Linked DNA regions of Elephas maximus indicus. The protein of the gene in region 1 purifies or fractionates together with the protein of each later gene. This does not show direct contact. Links are inferred from orthologs where the notes say so. Each region holds a gene or a part of one and is shown on either strand. Other genes may lie near its edges. The genes, in order: ISG15, HERC5, FLNB and ENO1.

What was found.
Region 2: the proteins of ISG15 (region 1) and HERC5 purify together in Homo sapiens (affinity purification with western blotting; 3 studies listed by BioGRID, with this or other methods). This does not show direct contact. The link is inferred for Elephas maximus indicus from reciprocal best matches to the Homo sapiens genes ISG15 and HERC5.
Region 3: the proteins of ISG15 (region 1) and FLNB purify together in Homo sapiens (affinity purification with mass spectrometry; 3 studies listed by BioGRID and IntAct, with this or other methods). This does not show direct contact. The link is inferred for Elephas maximus indicus from reciprocal best matches to the Homo sapiens genes ISG15 and FLNB.
Region 4: the proteins of ISG15 (region 1) and ENO1 purify together in Homo sapiens (affinity purification with mass spectrometry; 4 studies listed by BioGRID, with this or other methods). This does not show direct contact. The link is inferred for Elephas maximus indicus from reciprocal best matches to the Homo sapiens genes ISG15 and ENO1.

The regions. Positions count from the first base shown.
Region 1 is NC_064821.1:39,589,858-39,595,432, forward strand, and holds ISG15 (ubiquitin-like protein ISG15), read left to right. Parts: upstream 1-3,938; 5' UTR 3,939-4,035; coding exon 4,036-4,038; intron 4,039-4,481; coding exon 4,482-4,946; 3' UTR 4,947-5,070; downstream 5,071-5,575.
Region 2 is NC_064823.1:66,893,121-66,900,320, reverse strand, and holds the start of HERC5 (E3 ISG15--protein ligase HERC5), read left to right. Parts: upstream 1-4,183; 5' UTR 4,184-4,420; coding exon 4,421-4,709; intron 4,710-7,200.
Region 3 is NC_064838.1:62,571,941-62,579,306, forward strand, and holds the start of FLNB (filamin-B), read left to right. Parts: upstream 1-4,351; 5' UTR 4,352-4,537; coding exon 4,538-4,829; intron 4,830-7,366. UniProt on the Homo sapiens protein: Connects cell membrane constituents to the actin cytoskeleton. May promote orthogonal branching of actin filaments and links actin filaments to membrane glycoproteins. Anchors various transmembrane proteins to the actin cytoskeleton.
Region 4 is NC_064821.1:48,284,418-48,291,898, forward strand, and holds the start of ENO1 (alpha-enolase), read right to left. Parts: upstream 3,019-7,481; 5' UTR 2,893-3,018; intron 600-2,892; 5' UTR 591-599; coding exon 506-590; intron 1-505. UniProt on the Homo sapiens protein: Glycolytic enzyme the catalyzes the conversion of 2-phosphoglycerate to phosphoenolpyruvate. In addition to glycolysis, involved in various processes such as growth control, hypoxia tolerance and allergic responses.

The DNA.
Region 1 (5,575 bases):
AAGGGATGGAGGAAGCCAGGCACTCAACTGCGAGAGACCAACACCAGCATAAGGTCGACCCCTGTGAGACAACGTCATGAGAAGGCTCAGCCTGGTCCCCGGGGTCCTAGGAAGAGGCTGGCTTGTCATCTGGCCTACTTCTGGCCTCTCTGCTGCTCACCCAGCTGAGAATCACTCTGCACAGGAAGCAAGAACTATTTCTTTAATGGGGTTGAAGGTTTCGCATGATCCTGGAAAGAGCTGAATTAGGCAGAGTTGGATGAAACAAAGTCAGACCCATTTCTTGGTGTGGTGCCAGCCTTGTTCCCCATCTTTTAGGCCCTGTCTTGGATTGAATTGTGTCCCCCAAAATTTGGCTAGGCCATGATTCCTGGTATTGTGTGATTGTCCACCGTTTTGTCATCTGATGTGATTTCCCTGTGTGTTGTAAATCCTGTCACTTTGATGTAAATGAGATGGATTACCGGCAGTTATGTTGATGAGATCTACAAGATTAGATTGTATCTTAAGCCAATCTCTTTTGAGATATAAAAGAAAGAAGCGAGCAGAGAGACATGGGGACCTCACACCACCGACAAAATAAGCACCAGGAGTATAGCTTGTCCTTTGGACTTGAGGTCCCTGTGCTGAGAAGCTCCTCGACCAGGGAAAGATTAATGACAAGGACCTTCCTCCAAAGCCAACAGAGAGAGAAAGTCTTCCCCTGGAGCTAATGCCCTGAATTTGGACTTCTGGCCTCCTAAAAAAAAAAAAAAAAATCCTAGACTGTGAGAAAATAAACTTCTCTTTGTTATAGCAGCCCTAGATGACTAAGACAGACCCTCAGTCAGTATTTGGTCGAAGAATGACCCTTGAGGGTCTCTGGTCAGCCAGACCCATGGAGAGGGGAGCAGGCAGGAGGGCAAGGGGGTAGGAGGGAAATTGAGAGGACATCACTGACCAAGGCCACTGTTTGGAAGGGCAGCACCGCAGGGTTTGCACGGGAGGAGGCAAGGGGCTGTGTGTGAGTATGTATGCATGTGCACGTATCTGGCAGGCTAGCTTTCCAGGGGGAAGACACACAGTCACTTCTGTGAGGAGCCCTGGGAGGGGGGAAGGACACAGGGTCCTGGGGTCACTGAGAGTCTTTGTGCAGGCAGAGCTCTCACTCTAGCTCTCTCTCAGGCCCACTTGTTGGGGGGTCAACTGTTCTGTGAGTTTGTCTCCTTAATGCCTTTGAGTTTGCTCCTCCTGTCAAAAGCAGGAAGGAGATTGGAAGACATGGGCTAACAGAGCTAAAAAAAAATGAACATTTTAGTGTATATGCCAGCACTCAGAAATCAGGGGACAGGCACATCAGGTTTAAGGATGCTCACCGGAGGGGGGACTCAGGAGGATTTTTACCTTCTGCATTCTTTGTTTCAATAAAAGTGTGTGGTTTTCTTTTTGCAATACCAATATCATTTATGCAAGAAGAAAATCAAGATATAAACCTAAAATAACAAAAAGAAGGAAATTAGGCATCGCCATTTGTTTCTTGCATGTTAATAATTTTGGTGTCCCATGAGATTTTTCATGAGATTTTGGGGGGGGGGCAGGGAGTCAGATTCATATTCAAAACACTTCTCCCCCCATATTTTGTGTTTCTCTTCACAAATCATTTCTAGCTAACTTAAGCCTGTTCTGTACTATTCATAATAGTAAAAATTTGAGCATAACCTAAATAGCCAAGAATAGGGGATTGGTTAACTAAATTACACTCTATATTGTAATGAATTCATTATTCTGATCAAAACATATGCAGCCATTAAAACAACTTGTATAAATATATATTACTATGAAAAGATGTTTATGATGCACTGTTTCACGACCAAAGCAAATTATGAAATAAGGAGTCTTTTTTTTTTTTGCAAGCATTTCCTTTATTGAGGTAAGATTCACATAACATTAATCATTTTAAAATGTACAATTCAGTAACATTTAGCACTTTCACAGTGTTGTACAGCCCTCACCTCTATCTAGTTCCAGAACTTTCTCAGCACCCCAAAGGAGGCCCTGTACACGTTTACAGTCACACCCCCTCCTCCCAGCCCCTAAAAAGCCTAATCCACTTTCTGTCTGTGTGGATTTACCCATTATGGCTATTTCATATAAGATGTCCTGGTGGCTCAGTGGTTAAAGCTCTCAGTTGCTAACCATAGGGTAGAGGTTGGAACCCAGTAATCGCTCCATGGGAGAAAGATGTGGCAATCTGCTTCTGTAAAGATGACAGTCTTGGAAACCCTATAGGAAAGTTCTACCTTGTCTTATAGGGTTGCTAGGAGCAGGGATCAACTGAACAGCAATGGGTTTGTATATTTCACATAAACAGAATCAAATAATATCAAAGAACAATCTAGCTTCCTTCACTTAGTGTAGTGTTTTTAAGGCTTATCTACATTGTAGAATGTATCAGAACTTCATTTCTTTTTAGAATATTCAACATTTTGTTTATCCATTTATTCACTGATGGACACTGGGGTTTCCACCTTTTGGCTATTATAAATAGTATGGCTGTAAACATGCATGTAAAAGTATTTGTTTGAACACCTGTTTTCATTTCTTTTGGGTGTGCATCTAGGAGTAAAATCACTGGGTCATACGGTAATTGTATGTTTCACTTCTTTGGGGAAACTCTTTCACAGGCTACACTATTTTACTTTCCCACCAGGAATGTAAGGGGGTTCCTAATCTCTCCACAACCTCACCATTACTTAATTTCTGTTTTCTTTCTGTTTTTAACGTAACCATCCTAGTGAGTGTGAAGTGGTGCCTCATTGTGGTTTTGTGTTGCATTTCTCTGACTCATGATGCTGAGCACCTTTTCATGTGCTTATTGGCCACTACTACATCTTCTTTGGAGAAAGGTCTATTCAAGTCCTTTGCCCACTTTTTTTGTTTGTTTTTTTCATTGTACTTTAGATGAAGGTTTACAGAACAACCTAGCTTCTCATTAAAGAGTTAGTATACATATTGTTTTGTGACGTTGGTTACCACCCCATGACATGTCAACACTTTTCCTTCTTGACCTTGGATTCCCTATTACCAGCTTTCCTGCCCACTCCTGCCTTCTAGTCGTTGAGCCAGGGCTGGTGTGCCCCTTTAGTCTTGTTTGTTTTATGGCCTGTCTAATCTTTGCCAAAGATTACAAAAAAAAAAAATTTTTTTTTTTTTTTTAATCTTTGGCTGAAGGGTGAACCTCAGGAGCGACTTCATTACTGAGCTAAAAAGGTGTCTGGTGGCCTGACTATTTTTTAATTGGGTTGCTTGCTTTTTTGTTGTTGACTTGTAGGAGTTCTTTGCATATTCTAGGTATGAATTCCTTATCAGATACATAATTCAAAAATATTTTCTTCCATTGTGTACGTTCTTTTTTCACTTTCTTGATAGTGTCCATGAGTTGATTTTTTTTTTTTTTTTGTAGAAAATATAACATACATCTGTTCATTAAAGAAGGGTCTGAACAGCTCTTATCCTAAATCAATGGTGGTAATCTGGGTAGTTTGGATTGTCACTGTTTTATGTTGTTTCTGAATTAAGCAAGGCAATGTGCTACGAATTTACAAATTGGTAAACTGAAAATGAAAATTTCTAGTCATTAGTTCACACTGTTTTGACATTTGTGCATCTTGTAAGGGACCTGAAGTGCTGGACATCTAGGGAGTTTCTGAATGCATACTCTAGGGGATGGGGCAGGATGGGGCATGGGGTAGGGATGGCAGTGGAGGTGGGGAGGGATGCTTCTGAGCCTGGGAACTCAGCTCTTTCCCTGTACCGTATTTTCCCCGGCCTTTCTGTTTTGTTTCTGCCGCTCACTCAGGGGCATGGGTTGGGAAAAGGAAACTGAAACTGAATCTGAAGGCAGCCTCTGGCCGGCTCCTCTCCCTTGATGCCGCCCCATGACGTGTGCTGTTCAGGCCCATAAAAGGCAGAGGATGTAGGGCCAGGGGAAGTGGGAGCCAAGAGGCAACAAACTTCTCTGTGGCTACGGAGCACCTAGCACCAGAACCCACAGCCATGGTAAGGCGGGTTTGAAGGTGGGAGGCAGGTGGGTTCAGTACCAGCTGCTTCTCTGAACTCTTCCTTACTGTGGGGCCTCCCGGGGGTGGGAACCTGCTGGGTACAAGATGCTCTGAGGCTATCAGAGGTTGCATCCCAGTGTGAGGAGGGACAGGCTCCTGGTGAAGCCAGAATTTGGATCTTAAAAGGAGGGTTTGTCCCAGACGCCAACCCTGGATTCCCTGGGAGTAGAGCATAGAGCGGGGCATCTTAGCAAGGGAAGGGGCAGGATGGCAGGGAGACCAGCCCTCCTTCTGGCAATGCCTCCCTTCCATGGCCCCCATCCCTGGGGTTCCTTGCCTGGTGGGTGGAGAAAAGTGAGAGGAGGGGCAGTGGCCCTGGGTTCTAGGAGCTTGCCCTGGGACAGCACCAGGCTGCTTCCTGAGCCACTTGATGCCATGCAGGGCTTCAACCTGAAGGTGAAGATGCTGAGTGGCCAGGAGATCTTGGTGCCCGTGACGGCCTCCATGCTGTTGTCGGAGCTGAAGCAGCGGGTCTCGAAGGAGATAGGCGTGCCTACCTTCCAGCTGCGGCTGGCCCATTCAAATGGCACAGTGCTACAGGACGGAGTGCCCCTCATGGACCAGAGCCTGGGCCCTGGCAGCATGGTCCTGCTGATAGTGGACAGCTGCGAGCCCCTGAGCATCCTGGTGCGCAATGACAAGGGCAGAAGCGTTGCCTATGAGGTCCGGCTGACCGACACTGTGGCCCAGCTTAAGCAGCAAGTGTGCCAGCAGGAGAGGGTGCAGGCTGACCTCTTCTGGCTGACCTTTGAGGGGAGGTCCCTGGATGAACAGAAGCTATTGGGGGACTATGGCCTTACCCCCAGGTGCACAGTGTACATGAATCTGCGGCTTCGGGGAGGCTGAAGAGGCCCCAGGGGACGCTGAGTTTTCTGCCCTCCTGAGGGGACTGGAGGAGGAGATACCTGGGGTGCCCACTCCAAGACCTGCGGGCTTCCCGTGCCAGTAATAAAAATTGATGCAAAATGAACTGTTGGCCTCCTGCTCTGTCTTGCCCCTGCGTCTGTCTGCCCCTATTCTCCCCACCGCTGCTGGGGAAAAGCAGGAGACTGTGGGGGGAGGGGACCCAGGGTCGCTGGGGGTGACCAGGCCAGGGTTACCAACAAGGCTCTGGGTTAAAGGACAAAGGTTTCACACTGAGAGCTTGGTGGGCTCAAAATAGTGAAGAAATTGAAGTAAGACATGTCGGCACACGCAAATTAACTTTAGAGAAACAAAAGGAGGAAACTTTGTTGGAGCCCATGCAGGTGAGTGTTCTCCAGCCCTGCACAGCTGCCCCCCACCTGGGAAGGTGTGGTGGTGGGTCCCCAGGACGTATCCTGGTGGTTGTGAGGGAGGGAGGCCCACACCAACTGGGGCTGAGGGTCTCTTGGCACCCCAGAACTGACCAGCCTGCCTTGTCCTACTTGCATTAGTCTGGGGAAAGGTCTGGGCAGGGGTTTGATGAAGGCCGAGCTGCCCAGTGGAGCCAGTAC
Region 2 (7,200 bases), on another chromosome or scaffold:
TATTCATATACTCACCGTATGACCAGGTCCCTGGGTAGCGCAAATGGTTTTCACTAGACTACTAACCTAAAAGACGGCGCAGTGTTTCATTTTCTTATACATAGGGTTGTTGTGAATCAGAACTGACTTGACGGCACCTAACAACAAAAACACTAACCTAATGTTTGGTAGTTCGAACTCAGTCATGCAGTAGGAGAAAGGCCTTGTGAAATCCTTTCACTTTTGCCAAGAAAACCCTATACTCTATAATACATGGGGTCTCTGTGAGTCAGACTCACAGGCAACAGTCTTGGTTTCTACCATATGACACAGCAATTCCATTTCTAGGCATTTATTCAAAAGAAATAAAAATGTCCACTTGAGGACTTGTTCACAAATATTCATAGCAGCTCTATTCATTGTAGCCAAAAACTGGTGAATGAACAAACAAAAAACTGGTGAATGAATAAACAAATTATGTTATATCCATATGTCTTCAGCTGGGTTCTCTAAAGAAGCAAACCCGGAGAGGCGTATATATAAATATGTATAGAGAGATTTATCTCAGGGAGATAAAGCACATGGCTGTGGAGACTGGTAATTCCCAAATCCATGAGTCAGGCAAAAGGCTGGAGCCTTCTCCTGATTCTCATGGTTGCAGGGCCTGACGAACCCAAGATTGGCAGATTGGATGATAAACTGTTGGTCCACAGGGCTGTAGAAGCTGATGAATCCCAGATTTGGCAGTCAGATGGCAGGCTGGCTCACAGGGCTGTGGAAGCTGATGAATCCCAAGAGCTGCAGGTCAGGTGGAAGTCTGTTGACTCACGGGGTTGTGGGAGCTGATGAATTCCAAGATTTGCAGCTCAGGCAGCAGGCTGCTAGCTCACATCCCAAGAACCAGAGGTTAGAGGATGAAGAGTCAGATGCAGGATCCAGAGCAGGCAAGTGAGTTTTGCCAGAAAGTCCATATGTATATTGGATGCAGGGCATACCTCCAAGGAAACTCCCCTTACAACTGATTGGCAGATCACATCAGATCATGTCATGGAGGATGACTACATCATTACATAACCACCAAACCAGTAAGAGTCATGGCCCAGCCAAATTGACATACAACCTTAACCACCACAGTCCACCCCTTGTCAATTTGGTACCTGTACACATCTCCTTAAGCCATATACAATCTCTCACTAACAAAAACTCAGCGCGATCGAGTCGATTCCGACTCATAGCAACCCTAGAGGACAGAGCAGAACTGCCCCATAGAGTTTCCAAGGAGCGCCTGGCGGATTTGAACTGCTGACCCTTTGGTTGGCAGCCGTAGCACTTAACCACTACGCCACCAGGGTTTCCATACAATCTCTAAATAAAGACAATTACAAAGCCATACTTGCACCTAATGTGATGCAACTAACATGAGTACAATAGAAAACACACTAGCCCTGTTTACATCTTCTATTTTATAAGAGAGGAAAGAAAGCAAAAATAATTGCTATATATACATGTGTATATATATATATGTACACATATAATAAAACAAGGAAGAAATACTCATAACAATAATGATAGTGCAACTGGCCATGTGGTCGCAACTGGTATTTACAACTACCGTCTTCTACCACCCATTCCGTATTCCCTTTGCCCTCAGCAAGCACCTCAACCAGTCGTGGTTCTTTGCCTGGTGAGATGACCCAAACCTTCATTCCTGAAGGGTCTGGGCCATTAGTAGTCATGTTGGAATGGGGTTGCCATAGTTTTCCATTGACTTTAATCACAGGGTGTGGTAGTACTAAGAGATGTCCTAAAGGATCTCCTGTATTCCAGACATACTCTTCTTTACCTCTATTATGCAACATCAATCCAATTTCCTCTTAGTAACCAAAAAAAAAAAAAAAAAACCCAAATTAATCATTGAGCCAGCTCGGGGTCAATCAAATCAGCCAATATTGTTAATCTTTCTCCCAACCTTCCCCAAAGGCATCTATGGCCTTTTATGAGAGTGACTGTTTATTGGGGAAAAGGAAACAATCAGACTTTTCAGGGATTATTGGATACTGGCTCTGAACCGATACTAATCCCAGGAGACCAAAACATCACTGTGGCCCACCAGTCAGAGCGGGGGGTGTATGGAGGTCAGGTTGTTATTATTGGAGTCTTCACTCAGGTTCATCTCACAGTGGGTTCAGTGGGTCTCTGAATCCATCCTGTAGCAATTTTCCCAGTTTCAGAATGTATAACAGAAATACACTCAGCAACAGGAAGAACCTCCATATTGGATCCCTGATAAGGGGAGTAAGGGCTATTATGGTTGGAAAAGCCAAAAGAGAGCCATTAGAACTGCCCTACCTAGGAAAATTGTAAACCAAAAGCAGTACCACATTCCTGGAGGGGTTTCAGAGATTAGCGCCTCGGGTATAGCAACTCTCCAGCTCCGTCATATTTTAGTCCATAAGCACCTTGATCGCCTTTCCTTTCCACAAGGTGTCACACTGGTCAATTACATTGATGACATTGTGCTGATTGGACCTAGTAAGGAAGAAGTGTCAATGACTCTGGACTTAATGGTAAAACATTTGTATGCTAGAGGGTGGGGAATTAATCCCACAAAAATTCAGGCACTTTCCACCGTAGTGAAATTTCTAGGAGTCCAGTGGTACCGGGCATGTCGAGATAGTCCGTCTAAAGTGAAGGATAAGTTGTTATATCTGGCCCCTCCTATGACCAAAAAGGAGGCACAATGCCTGGTAGGCCTCTTTGAATTTTGGAGGCAACATATTCTTTCTTTCCCTCCAATTTCTCCCATTTGTATTGGAAATGTCTGCCTTGTGCCCGTTCCGCCATTGTACTTTGGAGACAGATAACTTATAGCCTAGATTTCACAGGTTCACAGATGAAGAGGAATTTTGCCACAGGATGGAATATACCAATATTTGATTTAGATGATTCAGAAGATGAGGTTCTGGACTTGGAGTTGATTTAAGACTTTTGGGATGATGTAATGATGGCAAGGACATGAATTTGGAGGGGTGAAGGGTGGAATGTTACAGATTGAATTGTGTCCCCCTCCCAAAATACGCGTCGTAAATCCTAACCTCCATGCCTGTGGTTATAATCGCATTTGGGAATAGGCTGTCTTTGTTATGTTAATGAGGCAGGATTAGTATAGGGAGTATTTTGAGTCAATCTCTTTTGAGATATAAAAGAGATTAAACAAGCAAACTTTAGCAAGCACAGGTGGGAGAAGATAGATGCCAAGCCATACGGAGATACTCAGGTGAACCATGAAACAAGCTGAAGAGACAAGGATTTCCCCCGGAGCCAAGACCCCTAGAGCTGGTGCCCTGCATTTGGACTTGAGACTCGTTAACTGTGAGATAATAAATTTCTGTTTGTTAAAGCTATCCACTTGTGGTATTTCTGTTAGAGCAGCGCCAGATTATTAAGCCACACCATATAATGGAATATCACTCAGTAATAACTAGAGGAATGTACTAATTAAAAAAAAAAGTATGAATCTCAAAAGCATTATGCTAAGTGAACAAAGCCAGACACAAAAGACTACATACTGTATAATTCCATGTATATGAAATTCTGGAAAACCGTCGAAGCAAGTGTATAGAGACCCAAGTTTGTTAGAGGTTGGGGCGGGGGAGGAGAATAGAGGGACTCACCGTTTAGAGGATACTGAGTTTCTGTTAAAGGTGATAGGAAAATTTGGACACAGATAATGGCAATTCATAGCACTGAATTGTACAACTGAAGAATGCTGATATGGCAAATGATTTGTTATGTATAAATTTATTACAATAAAAAATCAAACAATTAAAAAAAAAATCTGTTTTGACAGAAAGCAGATCACTGGCGCCACTGCCTGGTAACTCTCTTACCGCTATCCTGTGGCTTGAACCTGGAATACAATGCTTAACAAACTTTAAATTCGTTATCACAATATTCTTTGGAAAATGGCCTCCAAGTGGAATTGCAGTGTTTCTTTCAAGGCCATTCAGTCCAGAAATTTAGGTAACCTCTGCTCGCCCGAGGAGAGCTTCTCACTCCTGTTCACCCATTTCATAACCCGCCACGGGTTTGTTTACTTCGGTCGCCTTCCAAGCCAGTTCTGAAATCATTTGAGTTTCCCTTTCGTTTTCCGTACTCTTGAAAACAAAATCAGTTTCGTTTCACTTGAATTGAGGCCCCGCCCCCAAACAGCAACTTAAAAGCCCGGCATCTGAGCAGAGAGGAAGTAGAAGCCTGCAGTCCCTCGACGTCGCCCGCACACTCCTGCTGTGCAACGCGACGCCTGGAGGCAGCGGTCGGACGCAGACGTTGTTCGTCTTGCCCTTCCCTGTGGCGGGTTGGCGGCTGCAGCTCCGTTTCCCCTCAGGGTCTAGAGAGCCGGGGGGCGTTTCTGGAGCCCGGGAGAGCAGCGCCGGGTGCGATGAAGCGGATGCCACGAAGGAGGTCGCGGGGCCCCGAGCGCCCAGCGCCCAAGCCGAAACCCGCATCACGCCCCGGCGCGCGCAGCTCCGCAGCCTTTTCGGACCCGAGGGGCGCGCAGCTTTGGCTCTTCCCCAGCTCGGCAGGCCTCAGCCAAGCGTTGTCAGGGAGGTGCAAGAAGACGCGCCAGATCTGCTGCACGCAGGACCGGCTGGCGGTGCTGGAGCACGGCGGGGCCGGCGTCGAGGTTCACCAGCTGCCGGTGGGGAGCCACAGCGCCGGGAAGCCCAGTGAGTGGGGCGGCCAGCGCCGCTCGGCCTTCCAGCCTCGGGTCGGGGTGTGCAGGGTGGGCGGCTGAGGGCCGGTGCCTCAGCGTCTGCCTGGGCTGGGGCCGGCGCGGACCCTCCTTTTTATAAGCGTCCAGAGTTGGAGTGTGCGGTCCTGTTCTCTGAGCGGGAATGAGCGCTCCGAAGGGGACCAGGCGCTACAGCGGTCCTCGGCTGCCACAGAAACTTGCCGGGCTTCAGCCATTGTCCCGTTTCGCAAGTGCAGTGCACCTGAACTCTCCTTTATCCCTGTTCCCAGTTTGCGCAGTTTGCAGAAAGTTGCCGAGAAATAGATCGTCCCACCTGTAAGTTGATGAGGTGCGGAGGGAGTATGCAGGCAGCATCTTCATCTTTTCTTGGCCAGTGTTCTTGTATAATGTTTCTTTTTAGAGCTCCCCACCTCCTTACTCGGAAACTCTGGTGGCATAGTGGTTAAATGCTATGGCTGCTAACCGAAAGGTCAGCAGTTCAAATCCTTCAGGCGCTCCTTGGAAACTCTGGGGAAGTTCTACTCTGTCCTGTAGGGTTGCAAAAGTCGGAATCGACTCGACGCAACGGGTTTGGTCACTCCTTCTTAGGACATACCTGCATGGATTTCGTGAGCCTTTGGAGAATATAGTTAACTTGTTCTCAATTATATTACATTTGCGAGCAATTTAAAGAGTGCTTTCAGTTGCACCTCTCGAAATCCCCTGTCAGCAGAGATAAAGTCAGGTACTGTGGTTCGATTTTACAGGTAGTTGTGTGCCTTGAGGGGATTCCAACTGATAGCGACCCTATAGGACAGTAGAACTGCCCCATAGGGTTTCCAAGGCTTTAGGAAGCAGACCTCTACATCTTCCTCCCTCAGAGGAGCTGGAGAGTTCGACCAGCTGATCTTTTGATTACTTAACCACTGCGCCACCAGAGTTTCCTGATTTTACAGGTAAACGAAACCAAAACCTTGCCTCGAGTCAATTCGGACTCGTAGCTGCCCAATAGGACAGAGTAGACCGCCCCGTAGGGTTTCCAAGGAGTGGCTGGGGGCCGATGGATTTGTGCTGCTGACCTTTTGGCTCTTAAACCACCAGGGCTCCAACTTTACAGATGAGAGAAAGTAAACACCTGCTTTCTTCTAAGAGTTTTATGGTTTCAGTTCTCACATTTAGGTCTTTGATACATTTTGAGTTAGTTTTTGTATATGGGGTGAGGCATGGGTCCAGGTTCTTTGTTTCGCTTGTGGAAATCTGGTTGTCCTAGCACCATTTATTAAAGAGAAAATTCTTTCCCCATTGGATGGACTTACCACCCTTGTCTAAAATCAATTGACCGTGCATGTACAACACCCACATTTTTTTAATATTAATGTTTATTGAGCTTCAAGTGAATGTTTACAAATCAAGTCAGACTGTCACATGTAAGTTTATATACACCTTACTCCGTACTCCCACTTGGTCTCCCCCCTAATGAGTCAGCCCTTCCAGTCTCTCCTTTCGTGACAATTTTGCCAGCTTCCAACTCTCTCTATCCTCCCATCCCCTCTCCAGACAGGAGATGCCAACACAGTCTCAAGTGATCCCTTGATATAATTAGCTCACTCTTCATCAGCATCTCTCACCTACCCACTGACCAGTCCCTTTCATGTCTGATGAGTTGTCTTTGGCGATGGTTCCTGTCCTGTCAGCAGAAGGTTTGGGGACCATGAACGCAGGGATTCCTCTAGTCTCAGTCAGACCATTAAGTATGGTCTTTTTATGAGAATTTGGGGTCTGCATCCCACTGATCTCCTACTACCTCAGGGGTTCTCTGTTGTGCTCCTTGTCAGGGCAGTCATCGATTGTGGCCGGGCACCAACTAGTTCTTCTGGTCTCAGGATGATGTAGGTCTCTGGTTCATGTGGCCCTTTCTGTCTCTTGGGCTCTTAGTTGTCGTGTGACCTTGGTGTTCTTCATTCTCCTTTGCTCCAGGTGGGTTGAGACCAATTGATGCATCTTAGATGGTCGCTTGTTAGCATTTAAGACCCCAGACGCCACATTTCAAAGTGGGATGCAGAATGTTTTTATAATAGAATTATTTTGCCAATTGACTTAGAAGTCCCCTTAAACCATGGTCCCCAAACCCCCGCCCTTGCTCTGCTGACCTTTGAAGCATTCATTTTTATCCCGGAAACTTCTTTGCTTTTGGTCCAGTCCAGTTGAGCTGACCTTCCATGTATTGAGTATTGTCCTTCCCTTCACCTAAAGCAGTTCTTACCTACGAATTAATCAGTAAAAAACCCTCTCCCACCCACCCTCCCTCCCTCCCCCCTCGTAACCACAAAAGTATGTGAACACCCACATTCTTAATCTTTGAAATTTGCTTAATTGGCATCTTTGAAAAAATGGAATCTTCCTGTTATTTGTTTTGCATTTTGAGTGCAATCGAGCATCTTTTCATTTTTTTATTGGTCATTTGTCTTACTTTTTGGTGAACTGCC
Region 3 (7,366 bases), on another chromosome or scaffold:
AGGACCTCAAATTGATTCCATGTGCAAAGACTCTATTTCAAAATAAAGTCCTATTCACAGGTACCAGGGGTCAGGAATCGACTCGATGGCACTGGGTTTTTTTTTTAGGGGTCAGGACTCCAGCGTATCTTTTCTGGGGAGACAATTCAACCCACAGCAGGTCACCATAATATTGTCTTACAAGATATTATTGTGATTAAGTTCGCCTGCTCCTTTTTACTTCTGTTTTTGATTTGGCTACTAGAAAATTTAAAATTATGTGTGTGGCTTTCATTATATTTCTGTTGAACAGCAAAGGCTCCACCAGGTCTGCAGTGCAGTGAATTACTTCACGTGGCCTTTCTACCCATAGCCTTTGTAACTCCCACTAAATGGCTGGGTGGAACTATGCAAATGAGGTGCTTGTGGCCCACCAAGAGGATCGGACAGCTTGCTAATAATGCAAATAAGGTGCATAACACCCTTGTGGGGGTGGAACCACACAAATAAGGTGGATGGAACCCTAACAAGGGGATTAGTCAGTTTTGCCATCCCACTAGGCTTAAAAAAAGAGCTAATCCCAGAGCAGAGGGGGACCTAATTACCACCAAGGAGAAGAGACAAGGTTGGAACATGTCCTTTGGACCAGGGATCCCTGCGCTGAGAGCCTCCTAGACCCAGGAGACAGATGGAGGGAGCTGTAACATGGAAAACATGGAGAGGCAGGGGCGTGAGATGGCAGGAACCAGGAGATCCGCCTGAGACGGCTGCGATGGGGCTTGCAGACCCATGGAGCTAAGAGGTGTAGTACTTGCCCCAGAAGGCCCCTGCAGGGCTTGGCGGCAGAGGGCGAGAAGCTGTCCTATTTGAGGAACTGTGTCCTGAGTTGTTATTCTTGTTACTTCCAAGTTGATTCCGATCCTGAGTTGTACCCTCTTACCTCCCTAACAAATCACTTAACCGTAAATACGGTTCATGTGTTCTGTGAGACATTGCAGTGAATTAGGGAGCCCAAAGACAGGAGGGAGAGTGCTGGGGGTGGGGGGGAGTAGTTGATGTTAGAGATGATGGAGTGGCACAGCAGCTTGGAGAAGTTGGACATTTGGGACATCTTTAACCTGTACCTCATAGGAATAGCTTTGTGCTTGTTCCTATAAAAGAAATTGTTTAAGGTCTTAAACTCCAGGCTGGATGCTGCAAAGGGACAGAGATGACAGGACAGGAGCCTTGCCCTTCTTCAGCAATTGACCACAGCAAACGGCAACTGCACTTCAGCCCAAAACTCTTACCGTGACTCGCATGTGCGAATGAGGGGCCAGAGTCTGTGCTTCCACTTCTACTCCCTTCTACTCTCAGGGGTTCCACCAAGAGACCAGGGAAACCTGTGACCACGAGTATGAATGGGAGGCCTGGAAAGCACCCGCTAAAATGCTCTCTGCAGAAATGCTGCGTTGAGGTTTTGGGGCCTCATTTCTTTTCAAATATTGATAAAGAGTCATCTGAAGATCTGTCTGCATTTTCCCTCATTTCTAAAGCCACTGGCCACCCCTCCACCCTGGCTGTTGAGCCCCCCCCTCCTAAAAATCACTCTAGAGAGAACTTCTGGAGCCCTAGTGGCACAGTGGTTAAGAACTTGGCCGCTAACCAAAAGGCTGGCAGTTCGAATCCACCAGACGCTCCTTGAAAACACTATGGGGCAGTTCTACTCTGTCCTATTGGGTCGCTATGAGTCAGAATCTATTCGACAGCAACAGCTTTGGGTTTGGGTTTTTAGAGAACTCCTGGAGTCCCTGGGCAGTACAAACAGTTAAAGCACTCAACTGCTAACCAGAGGCACCTCGAAAGAAAGGCTTGGCCATCTACTTCCAAAAAATCAGCCACTGAAAACCCCATGGAGCTCAGTTCTACTCTCACACACAGGAGGTCACCCTGAGTCAGCATCGACTGAATGGCAACCGGTAACTGGTAGAGAACTCCTGGGCTTCTTTCAGTAGTGTGATGAGAATCACCTGGTCTGTCCCAGGACAGGGCTGTCTCAGCTCAGAGTGAAGTAGACTGGATATTTACATGCAGGGCTTATTAGTTGAGCCAAGGCATAGTAAAACAGAAACAGAAGAAAGGAGAAACTTAGCACATTAGCAGCTGCTGAGTGGGCTGAGTCGATGACATTAGCTTCAGTCTCACCTAGCAGGGAGGAGGTCCCTAAGGGAGTGAGACACTGGCCGATAAGTTTTGATGGATGAGTTTGGGTGGAGGAACGCATGAGGCACTGGGAACCTTGGGCACAGGGAAGGCAAAGGTTACCATCTGCCTCTAGTGAATTCACTGTTCAGGGAGCCCATTGTGTGGACAAAGGCAAGTCCCAGGCTGGGGGGCAGCATGGGACCCTCAGGCAGAATACTTTGGAGTCAGATCCAGGTTCAAATCCTATTTTGTCTGGTCTTTACCAGCTGAGCTCCAGCAAACCTCTTCACCTAATCTCTAATGAAGGAAATGAGCATTCAAATATTTATGGAGACCCTGCTACGGGCCAGGGCCAGGTAATACACACTCTCACCCCCAGCCGGTTGTGAGCACATCCAGCGAGCAAGGCGATCTTTCCAAGCAAAGCACTTCAGTGTTGTATGCGTTCACCCACAATCTGCTGGCCTCTCCTGGGCAGCCCCCAGGATTAGAAGCTCTTGATCTCTGTCCTGGTCAACCCCTCTTCCTCCAGGAAGCCTGCCTGCCCTGATCCCCTTCGCCTAAGCCTGGATTAGGTGCCACTTCTCTGGTCCCAGGGCACCCTATGCCTCTCTCTCTCCCCTCCCACAAGAGACTGAATCTTGCAAGTCTTACAGGCTTGATTCTAGTTCTAACTGTGCTGTGGGGCCCTGTACCAACCACTCAGTTTCCTCTTGTCAAATGGGGTCAAGGGCATGGAAATTGCTTACATAGTGCCTAGCACAGGTACACAGTAGGTGCGTAATAAGTACAAATAGTTATTCAAGCTGTTGACAGCAGAGGCCTGGCCTGGGTCTCGGCTGTATTCCAGCATGTAACTCAGAGCCTGGATGAGTACAAGAGAAAGTACTCAGTGCATGATGTGGCAGACAGAACAATGGCCCCTCAAGGATGTCCATGTCCTAATCCAGGAAGCTGTTAATATGTTACCTTATATGGCAAAGGGGAATTAAAGTTGCTGATGGACTTAAATTTGATGATCAGCTGTCTTTTAAGATAGAGAGATTATCCTGGATCATCTGGGTGAGCCCAATGTAACCATACCCAATAACCAGTTGCCTTTTTGTTGACCCAACTCACGGTGCCCCATGTGTGTTACAGTAGAACTGTGCTCTCCACGGTTTTCAATAGCTCATTTTTTGGAAGTAGCTCGCCAGGCCTTTCTTCCGAGGTGCCTCTGGGACAAAACACCTTTCAGTTAGCAGCTGAGTGCAATAACTGTTCTCACTACCCAAGGGTTCTGTGTAATCACAAGGTTTTTTTTTTTTTTTTTAAGAGTGAGCATAAAGCGTGGCTAAAAAAAAAAAAAATTTTTTTTTTTTTTTTTTTTTTTTTTATGGAGATCCAGAGAGATGGCAGCATGAGGACTCGGGCTGAGGTTGCTGGCTTTGCTGATGGAGAAAGGTGCCACAAGCCAAGGCACGTGGGTGGCCTCTGGAAGCTGGAAAAGGCAAGGAAACAGATTCCACCCTAAGGCCTCTAGAAAGGAATACACCTAGCCAACATGATTTCAGCTCAGTGAGTCATGTGAGGGGCATCTAACCTAAAGAACCGTAAGATAATAAATTTGTGTGTGTGTGTGCGTGTATTACTACTACCACTAGCTGTGATTGCTGACTCCTTCTTCTCTTCCGAAGTTAGGGAACAAGCCTGCCTTGATGACCACTGGGCGATACGTGCTGAGAAGAGAGGACCTACCAGACCGTCGGCATTCAATAAATGCTATTGATAATATTATAACTCATATGATTATAACTCATATAACAAAATGTGTTTCCCTCACGACGTCTCCCAGTCCCTAACATGGTGCCTGGCACACACAAGAGCTCAATAAAAACTCTTATTAAATCTATAGATGGATGAAAAGCCCCTCTCCACCGGCACCTCCCCCATGACCGACACCACGGTCCCCGCCCATCCTGTCCAGCCCCCTGCCTTCCCACCACCCAGAGCCAGTTGCCGTTCTCCTTAAGGAGCCCTAAGCCCCTTGGCCAGGAATCCTGCCTGAGCGCGAAATGAGGGTTACCAGGACGACTCGGAACGGGGCGCAGTGCCCACTATGGGCAGCAGGGGGCGAGCGCGGCCCGGGAACTCCCGCCCGAGGACGGGGCGGGGCTTCGGGGGGCGGGGCGGCTTAGCGCGCAGGCGCGGGGCCAGGGGCCTCTTGCGGCCAGGGGCAGACGGCGCAGAGCAACCCCGGCCGCGGCTCCGGTAGCAGCAGTGAGTTCGATCCCCGCTCCCGCACCGGCTTTAGTTCGCGCTCCCCCGACCCCTGGGCCTCCCGACACCAGTTCCCTGCAGCTCTCCGCGTCCTATCCCTCCTCCCGCCGCCAGGATGCCGGTAACCGAGAAGGACCTGGCGGAGGACGCACCGTGGAAGAAGATCCAGCAGAACACGTTCACGCGCTGGTGCAACGAGCACCTCAAGTGCGTGAACAAACGCATCGGGAACCTGCAGACAGACCTGAGCGACGGGCTGCGGCTCATCGCGCTGCTGGAGGTGCTCAGCCAGAAGCGCATGTACCGCAAGTACCACCAGCGGCCCACCTTCCGCCAGATGCAGCTCGAGAATGTGTCGGTGGCGCTGGAGTTCCTGGACCGGGAGAGCATCAAGCTCGTGTCCATCGGTGAGCACCCTGACCCGGCCAGGCTGCGGCCCGGGGTACCATCCGGGCCCCGCGCGTGCGCCCCCGCCGCTGGCAGGGGCTCCCCAGAGCGCGCCCCCACCACACCCAGCGGCCGCGGGCTGGGTGTGGGCGCGAAGGCGAGAGGAGTCGGCCCCCGGCGATGGGGGCGTAGGCCCTAGGCCCCTTCCCCGATACCGTCTCCGGGGCTGGGACCTCCTTCATGTGCCCGCTCCCCGCCATGCGCCCCGGCGGTGCGCCTAGGCTGCTTGTGGGTTGAGGGCTTGGGGTGGGGCTGCAGGGGGAGTGGTGGGAAAGTGGCATTTCTTCGCGCCTGGGGCGTCCCTGAGGGAGTTGGGGGACTGGAAACCCCTTCGTCCGCCTTCCCCGGGGGCGAGGCGCTAGTCAGATGCTCCGCGGAGCGCTCTCCCCGCTGCGCCCAGGCCAGTGCGCTTGGCGGCAGCGGAATGGGCGTTGGCGCGAAGGCCGGGGGGCGAGGGAGACCTGGGGAGGAACCGTTCTCTGCGCCTGGGGTCTCCCAGCCCAGGTGGAGACGGGCCCTGGTACCCTCCCCGCCGTCCCCGGAATGGGTGTGGGTCCCGAGATTGGAAGGAGAGCCGTGGGGGTGTGTCCCTTCTGGCTCTCTCTGCTCGCGGCTCGGCTGTGGCCCCGCGCAGCCCCGGGTGAGCCCGCTCTCCGAGGCTGAAGTTGTAATTGAGAGGTGGTGGAGATAATGGTGACTGCTGCGGTGTACGGAGCCCAAACTAGCCCCGTTCTGTGCTAACAGCCTTCAAAATGATTTCCATCCTTAGACATCGTGAGGGCTGGGGTCTCTTTAGACCGTCTGTTCAGATAAGGGCGTCAGGGACTTAACTGACGTGCCTAGGGTCACCCATGTAGCGAGAACCCAGCTGAGAATTGAAGGAAGTGGGCGACAGTTAGAAGGAGGCTTCTCGTTCCTCTCCGCCCTCCCCACACCAGGGTCTTCCTGAGAGGAGGGAGGTGTTGGTGTCTGGGTTCCTCTCCCCCTCCGCTGTAGAAGAAGAAGCGGGGGTAGGGTGAGGCCTCCCTCATGACCTGGGGCAGTTGGGGCCTTCCAGGAGGATGGCAAGGCTGCTGACGAAGTGGGCTGTGACGGCAGGGGGAAGGGTGTGTGCTGCGTGTGTGCGCGCGCCCGCGTGCACGCACCAAAAGAAAGTGTGCGGATGTACACGGCTGAGTGTGCAGTGCTTATGTGCAGAGAGATTGTGTGCGCATGTACACTCTACCTATGTTTTGTCAATTGAGGCCTGTCAGGGAGCGGCTGTACCTCCTCCTCCAGGCCTGGGCCTGGGGTCTCTTCGAAAGAAGTTACCCCAATGCTAGGAAGAGAAGTGGGCGTGGCTGCTGGGACTTTCTCCTGCCAGAAAGGAGTTCCCTCTAGGCTGGCCTTCCCTGGGCCCCGCCCTCGCCTTCCTTCCCCCACACCTGTCTTGGCGGGTAGGGCTTCTTCCTGTTTCCTGGGCCCAGATGGCTGCCACCTGCCCTGTTGGTCTGGCCTCCCAGCTGGGCTCCCAACAGGGCTTCTCCACCCCCCATGGCCACCCCGCCCTTCTCTGCAGAGGGGAGCTTCGTGGGGTGCTATTGTCTTCTTTTTGAGGGCCCGTCTCCTCTCTTGGGGAGAGTTAGCCTCAGAATTCTCCTGGAATTCCTTCTTTTCCAGGAACCACCCTCCTTCTGAGGAATCTCAAGGCCTGGCCAGGCTCAATTTAGATCCTTTCTTCTTTGTTTTAAAAATGTGTATTTATTTAATTAACTGAAGAAAGAAAGCAAACCATGACTTGAAATCTCTTTTAAAAAAATGAGGGGGAAAAAAAAAAAAACCCACACCACCAGAAAATCCCAGATTGCCTAATTTCGCCAACTGTTTGCAGAGGCTCTAGCTTAGATTCACATCATGCCTGAAGCTTGTAGGTCTCATTTTGGACTTTATTTGGTCCCTTGCATTTTTCTGCATGGTCCTCATGGTTTTCATTCCTGAACCAACCCAGGTCTTAGTGTCTCCCATTGTCTTGACATTCCAGTGTCAGCCTCTCCTCGGCCCCCCGCCACGTGGGCTGTTGGCAGCTTTTTGCTGTGGACCCACCACAAGTTACATTGTTTTATTTGTTTTTTTCCTTTATAATTATAATTATTTCTTTGACCTTATTCCCCAAAGTGGCATTCTTGGGGCAAAGGGTGTGACCATGTTTATGACTTCTGTTATTGACTACCTAGTTGCTCTCCAGAAAGATCTCACAGCAAACAGATTTTCCAGCATCTTGGAGACCCGGAGGGAGACTTGCCAAATGGCAGAACTCCTGCAGGGGTAATGTCTGAGGCCTCCTCCCTGTACTCCTGGAATGTTCTTGGTGATGGCCCTTCAAAAAGTCACATCCAACTTGGACTTCAGTTTATGTATTGACTTCTTATGTCATATTGCACTGTGCTGACTGTGGCAATACTCCAATTTTGGGGCACCCAGTGGTGCTGGGCACTGTCCTAAGTGTGTTCCATTGACC
Region 4 (7,481 bases), about 8.7 Mb from region 1:
GACTTTACAGCAGTGGTTTAAGAAAAAAAAAAAAAAAAAAAAGCCCAGTAAAAATAAGAGCCTCTGGGTTCTCCACCCTTGGTTAAAGGTGATTTCTGGAAAGAAAGTTAAGAGTGCTATATTTGCACTTGCTTGCATTCCCCTAATCTCCTTCCTTATCAAGGGATGAAGATCATTCTATCACAACCACTTTTGCTTATTTGGTCACAGAAAGCTGAGAAGCAAACTAGTGATGGGACCTCTTAGGGACAAGGCCCTACCTTACTTCCCTACCCCACTGACCTAGGAGCCAACCTATGTTCTGTTTTAAATGCCATCCAGGAGTCAAGGACTCCTTGCCTTATAACCTGCTCCCCACCAAGTCAGGAATCACAACCGACTAGTATGTACAGACCACAAGAAAGGTTTTCACAACAGGCTTTTTTTGGTCTAATGCTCTATGAATTTAAGTAGGTTTTAAAGATGGTGCGTGACTAAAGAACCACAGAATCCAAGTGGCACATACCTTTTGCAGTATAAAGATCAACCTCAACAGTGGGATTTCCACGGGAGTCGAAGATCTCTCTGGCGTGAATCTTGAGAATAGACATGGTGAGTTTCTGTAGGGGAAACACAGTTCATATTTTCCATAAACCAGAATGTGTTCATTACTCATTCATTCAAGGGATTGCCTCCGAGGCTTCCTGGACTAGAAGATGGCTGCACTGGACTAAATGCTGCAGGTAGGAAGGCTAGGTGAAGTGGAAACAAGTCTGCTGCAAAGTAATGGGAATTGCTCCTAAAAAGGTAGGTTGGCCCCAGCTTTGGAAGGCCCTAAACCAGCAGTTCAGGTCTCGTCCTGTAAGCAGAACAAAGAAGGCCAAAGCATGTGCACACCAGGGAGAAACCAAAACCACCTGTAAAGATGAATGTGGTGGCGGATACAGGACGGCTTAAGAGGAGTCTGAAACTGGTTACTGTCGAGAGTTTACGAGGCTTGGCATGGAAACGGAAAAGGGCCAAGCCCAAACCTAAGGGCAGAGGAAGAAAGGGCATGAAACTCACAAGAAAAACCATCTAGGCCAGGCCCCCCCCCCCCCCACAAGGTAGGGATGCAGGAGGAAAACCAAGCTTATAATGGAATACTGAATTAAAAATTTGGGGCATATTTCATTAAGGTCAGTGTTTGAGGAAGAAGTAGAATATTCAACTGATATCCAGTTACAATTTTGAGTTTGGTGCTCAGGAACGATGAGCTCCTTGGTCCGTGCTCTTTGTTACTGCCACTTTCTGGGCCTTTTGAATTTCCCAGTATTCGCATCTTTAGATAGGACACATTAATAATGACATCTAGTTAGTATTTCTCCCAAAGGGAATTTTACCCCATTTAAAAAACTCAATTCTGAAATGTTATGATTTGTAAATGGAAGAAAGATTGTCTTTGAACACCAGCATACGCCAATGGAAGGGGCTTCCTTTGAAAACGCACCTAAAAAAGAAAAGGAATCACAGCTACCAAGAGCAAATAGCAAGTCCTCCCAAAAGCCCCTTTCTTACTTCCCCCCCCCAGGAGTTCTCTAAGGAAGAAACTAACTCAACCTGAAGTGAAGTGGATGAGAAGAAATGAATTATTATTCAAAAACCGTTATCTAGCTGGGTTTCCCTCTAACATCTTCTCTGGAATGTTCTGAAGTAGCAACTGGCATCCTATCTTTTTAATCTACTGTAAGTTTCAAAATTTGATACCCAAGTCACTTCTGTGTAACAATGGAGCTTTATTCACTAGCCAATAAAAAAGTATCTAATTTCTACATACTATCACCCAAAAGGGCAAATTTGTTTAAAATTTGAGGTGCAAATAAAATGTAATACACCTTTACATTTATAGAAAAATCATTCTCCGAAGTAATTAAAGTTCAGCGAGCAGGGAGACAGCAAACCGGCTCGTGATCACTTCTGTCTGGACTGAATCCCGTTATCAGGCGCAAAACAAGTGGACGGGGCAGTGACCTGGAGCAAGTCAACCAACAGACCACACCTCCCAGGAGTCAAGACCAGTGTGGAGGAAACAGGCAGCTTTAAAAAATAAAATAAAAAATAAAATCTTTTTATGCCACACGAGGGCCCCTCCAGGGAGTAAGTCGGGGAGAGGCGCAGGGTACTCGCCTGACTCGGGCGAGGTCGCCTAAGGGCGTCCCCATTATCCACCGGAACTGTTGCAGTTTCCTCAAGAAGCACCTTCTAGAAATTATATAAGCCTTTGCGGCGATGGCTGGCTGGACACCCAGGCGCCGAGCTGCAGGCCCTGAGGCACTAGTGGGACGCTTGGGCTACTGGTGGGGAGAAGAGGAACTGCAGCTTTCTGGGCATCTCCCCCCGTCCCTTCCTCCATTTTAAAAAGGGTCTGGTTTTAATTATCACCCGCGCAAAGTCTGTATCCCTCCCCAAAAACCTTCCATTTGGCTACTCATAGAGAAGCGCCTTCCACCCACGACGCCAGATATCCTAAATGGTTTGCGTGTTCTAGTCCGGACTCTCCGAGTACAGTTATCTGGCCTTTCACTCCGTAATCACGTGCTGATCAGCATCTTCCCCTACAAAGAAACCTGGCGCCCTACACGTGCGCCTAGCGCCGCACCCGCGCCCCTGGGCCGCAGGAAGGGCACTGGGTCCTGCCAGGGCACACCGCAGGCCTCCGAGCGCATCCGGGAGCGGCCCGAACTCAATCTGCGGAGTGCCCAGACACACTCGCCGGAGAGCGAGGCGGGAAGTCGGCGCGCATGTCCCCATCGGTCCCGTCCGCGCCCGAACCCACCGCACGCCACGTCCCTGCGGGGAGGGAGCTCCCACAAGCTCGGTCGAGGAAAACCCACACGCCACCTGCACGAGCGCTCCCTTGGCAGGAGTCCTTACCTAGCCGCCGGTTCTCGTGGCGCAGGAAGGAAGCGGAGAGTGCTGCAGACACCAAGACGAGCGTTAGGCCAACTGCGTGCGACCTCGCTAACTCCCCGGGATCCTCTGCTCGCCGCCTCGCCCTACTTCCTGCCCGCCTAGGAGGCACCGCCCAGTGCCCGCCTCCGGGGCCGGCCCCGTCCGCGCCGCCTCGCCATTGGCTAAGCGCTCCGCCACTCAGGTCCTCGCCTCCCGGGAAGGGGCGGGGCTGCGGCTGCCGCACCGATCTCGATCTGGGGGCGATGACTTGGGGTCGCAGGGCTGGGTTAGGGACACTGGGGACCTGACTCCCTAGTGGCTATACGGGGATCCTGGCGAGCCCCGCTCCCCGTGGGGACCCCTGAGGAGAACAGGGACCTGGGGAGCCGGGGCCTGGGAGGGGCAGGGTGGCGCGGCGGGCATGAGGGCTCGGGGCGCCGGCACGTACTCCGAGTCTCGCACGCACTCGGCGTAGCTCCTGCTCCGGGCCGCACGTTTGGCTACGACCTTGGTGACGACCTTCGCGGCGCACCCTTTCCCGGCCTGCCTCCCGGGCCTCCCCCGCCCCGGAACTCGGTGCCCGGGAGTTGAAGCGTTGAGCGACCGCGCGGGGCGCACGACCCCCACGACCTGGACCTGACCGCGGCGAAGTCTGCCACGTTGAGTCCAGGAGGCCACGTGTGCCTGCCTGCGCCAGCGCGCAGTGCGCTGTGCGCGTGCCCAACGAGGTCAGGCACCCGCGTGTCAAGCCCAAGGTGACCCTGCCCCATTCACCTTGCCACGCCGGCTTGACATTGAGGATCAGGCAAGGTAGCTGAAAGGAAGGTTCGTCTTCCATAAATTATAGCCAATACTTAACCAAGTATTCTTACTCTGTGCCAGGCACATCTCCACATGCTTCCCCAGTGTTAATTCATACACTAGTGCCTGTTACTATTTCACCTTTAACTGGAGACTTCGTATCCCTCCCTTTCCATTATCTATGGAATTCGAGGGATTCGTGCGAACTATAAATGTAATGATTTGGGAGAGGAATTTCTTAAAGTACAGAACAGTAAGCAATATTCCACAGTGGTCCAGCAAATAAGAAACAATTGGTAGGTGCAGTGACTTTGCCATTGTGATCAAGATCTGATAGACCATTAAGAAGTCAGCTCTGCAACACATCCCCCACCCCAAGGAGGGGCTGAGTGGTCACTTCGTGTTCTAATACAGTTATTTTTGTATTTTCTCCATGGCCCTCCTGGTTTGTGAGTGTGAGGTCTTAAACAATGTAATAGATTTCCATATTTCCCATATTGCCTTGCATAGAAAGATTCAAATGTGTATTGAATTTAGTATTTCTTCTGATTAGCTCTTAAAACTGCTTTTCGTCCTTAACTCCTAGCATCTTTCTTGTCAAGCTTAGGTTTTCAAAGCATTGGAAAGATGAAGGCCTATGGGGTCCACAGTATTTGTTTTCCATTGACTAAGAAACAAAAATTTTAAGATTAAATTCAGCAAAAACACAACATGGAGATTGTAACATGGTTCGCTAAAGAATTATATGAATTTTGCAAGCAATGTTCGTGATTTCACCACTGCCGTTTTTGGCTGCTGGAAACCGGTATCTGAGTCCCATGACTCAGCAGTTACATCACAGCCAACATCTCTCAAGCCTTGTAAGGGCTCCAAGGAAATCAGACATTTAGAGCTCTTATTTTCAGAGTAATTCTAAGGCGTGGCCCTGAAAGGGCTCCAAACAATCCCTTTTACTTTACACCAACGTTGTTAGAGATAAAGATAATCAAGGCCCTCATAACTGCTGGCTGGCCAGAACCAGTGAATCTAGCAGGAAGCCAAATGCAGAACATGATCTGAGTCAGCTGCTGTTGCAAGATTCTTGGAGCCCACAGCTCACCATTATGAGCCAGCACTTGAACCTCAAATTGTAGTTCAAACATTAATGATTATTGGAGATGCCCTTTAAAGTGAGGTTGTTGAGCAATTTTATTGCGTGGCATATCAAGGGCACTCGCCTTGCTGGTGGTGCTCAGGTTACTATCAGCATACCATACCTGAAGCGATGCAGGCCGTCTTGCAGGAGATCTGCAGGTAGCGCTTGGATGGAGGGCAGGTGAATCTGCAGCAGCCTATGACCCACCTGAGGCCCTCAATGGTGCAAATGGTTAAGCACTTGACTGCTAGCAAAAAGGTTGGAGGTTTTTTTTTTTTAATTTTATTGCACTTTAAGTGAAAGCTTACAAATCAAGGTCCGAAAACTTACAGCCTTGAAGACCTTGTGGAACAGTGGTGTTACCCAGTACAGTAACTCATGGTGTCGCCCCCAACCCCCGTGGACCTCAGTTTTAATCATAAGATAATATGTGATAAATATAGTTTGTAAAGTGCTTAATTATAAAATTTCTTAGATTATGTGAGTACTAACAACAAAATTATTTTGTAGCCTTTCTACATCGAATTAAAACATTATTAGTGATAACATTATTAGTAACTGAAAGGAAGCCTTTTTTTCTTTTTAATTACTTCATTGTCAAAAAAGTTATAGATATAGATTCACAAATAATACCACAATATTGTAGCTAAAACACCGGCAAATTTGACAAAATCAACAACTGTAAAAACACTGGCAGCAAAGAAAACAACATTGCGTGCTCGTAGCTGGCAAAATCACATCATTCGAGGTGTCATTGTAATTGCATAACAGTGACAACCTTGACTGGTGCGCATTAGAAGGTTCAAAAAGTAAATCTGCATAGAGCTTTAGCCTTGTAGGTATATTGATAGATGTAGGGTTGCTATGAGTTGGAATCGACTTGATGGCAGTGGGAGTGGGTTAAGCTGGTCTTATGAAAAATGCTTTTGTTACAACTAACTACAGGATTTTTTAAAAAATAAAAATAAATTTCTGCTGAAACACTGCACAAAAATTTTATAGGCAAGTCATTTTGGTGTCACCCCCTCTGAAAGTGTCACCAGTGTGGTCTGTACCCCCTGCACCCTAGTGATGCCACCAAGTTGGAGTCAACTCCACTGCAGCTAACAACAAGGACCCATCTGGATTATTGATTCCATCTGTGGTATGTGCACCACTGGTTGGAAAACGCTGGTTTATGGAGAAAGGGACATACTGTTTCTGAAAGCAGCTCTCCAAACTTCAGAGTAGGATGAGGGGTCCAGGGAGGTAAGAGATCAGATACATACAGAAGGCCCTCAGAGGCATCTATGTCCCTCCTCATAATAGGCCATGAGGTTTTCATGTTTGTTTTTTTATCATTAAATATTTTATATATACCAAAGACTATGTAAGGATTATATGTTTTGTTGTGAGTTGCCATTGAGTCCATTCCGACTCATGGATAATAAATGAATGTCTGTGGACACACCACTAGCTTCAGAAATGGAACATTAGCAGTGCTGTTAAGGCCCCCTGTGTATCCCTCTTGATAACCACTAACCTAAGTTTTGTGTTTATTATTCCCTTGCTTTTCTTTATGGCTTTTTTTTTTAATCGTTTTTTGAACTTTATATAAATGGCATCACACTGCGTATAGTCTTTTGCTAGTTATTTTGCTTAACTTGATGTTTGTGGGATCAGTCCATGTTGACCCCATAGGTGTGGAAGTGTAGGTGGTTCTTTGTCAGTACTGCATAGCAGTCCATTGTGTGAATATTACATATTCTCCTGTCAACATATATTTGGGTTGTATCCACTTTTTTTTCTCCCTTTATAATGTGAATAATGCTGCTACGAACTTGGTTGCAAATGTGTCCTGAGCACAGATGCAAGTGTTTTTCTAGGGCCTATGCTTTGGATATGTTATCAGGAGGGATCAGTCCCTGGAGAAAGACATCATGCTTGGTAAAGTAGAGGCTCAGTAAAAAACAGGAAAACCCTTGACAAGATGGATTGACACAGTGGCTCCAACAATGGGCTCAAGCATAGATAGCAACAATTGTGAGGATGGCATAGGACCAGGCAGTGTTTTGTTCTGTTTTGTGTGGGGTCACTATCAGTCAGAACCAACCCAATGGTATCTAACAACAAAAACAACAATGCCTAGATGTGGAACTGCTGGGTCATAGGGTATACGCTTCTTCACCTTTATTTTCTAAAGTGTTTGTATATCTGTGTAGTCCAACCAGCAGCATATGAGTTCTGACCCAGTTTGAAAACAAAATATCAAATTCAGCTCTTTCCTTGCAGTTTTTTTTCTACAGATTAAGCCCCCTCCGATTATCAATTTACCACCCTTTCTGAGTCCTTCACTTAAAAAAAAAAAAAAAAAAAACTTATTTTTTCTCTCTGTAAATCCTAGTCAACACTCTACTATGGCTTTGGGGCACCTCTTAGGACTTCCTACTATCAACAGCCCACTCTTGTGCCTTCTTCAAAGATGACAAAGTCAGCTGTAGGAAGCAGGGTTTGGGCAAGGCTACCCTAGAAACACAGCATACATTCAGGGAGACAGGTGGGAGGACGCGGTATAGTTTTTAAACAAAGTCATGTGAGGTCGGCATTTGTCAGGTGTGCACAAATGAAGAGATTAAGGAGGACAGAGTCAAGAGGA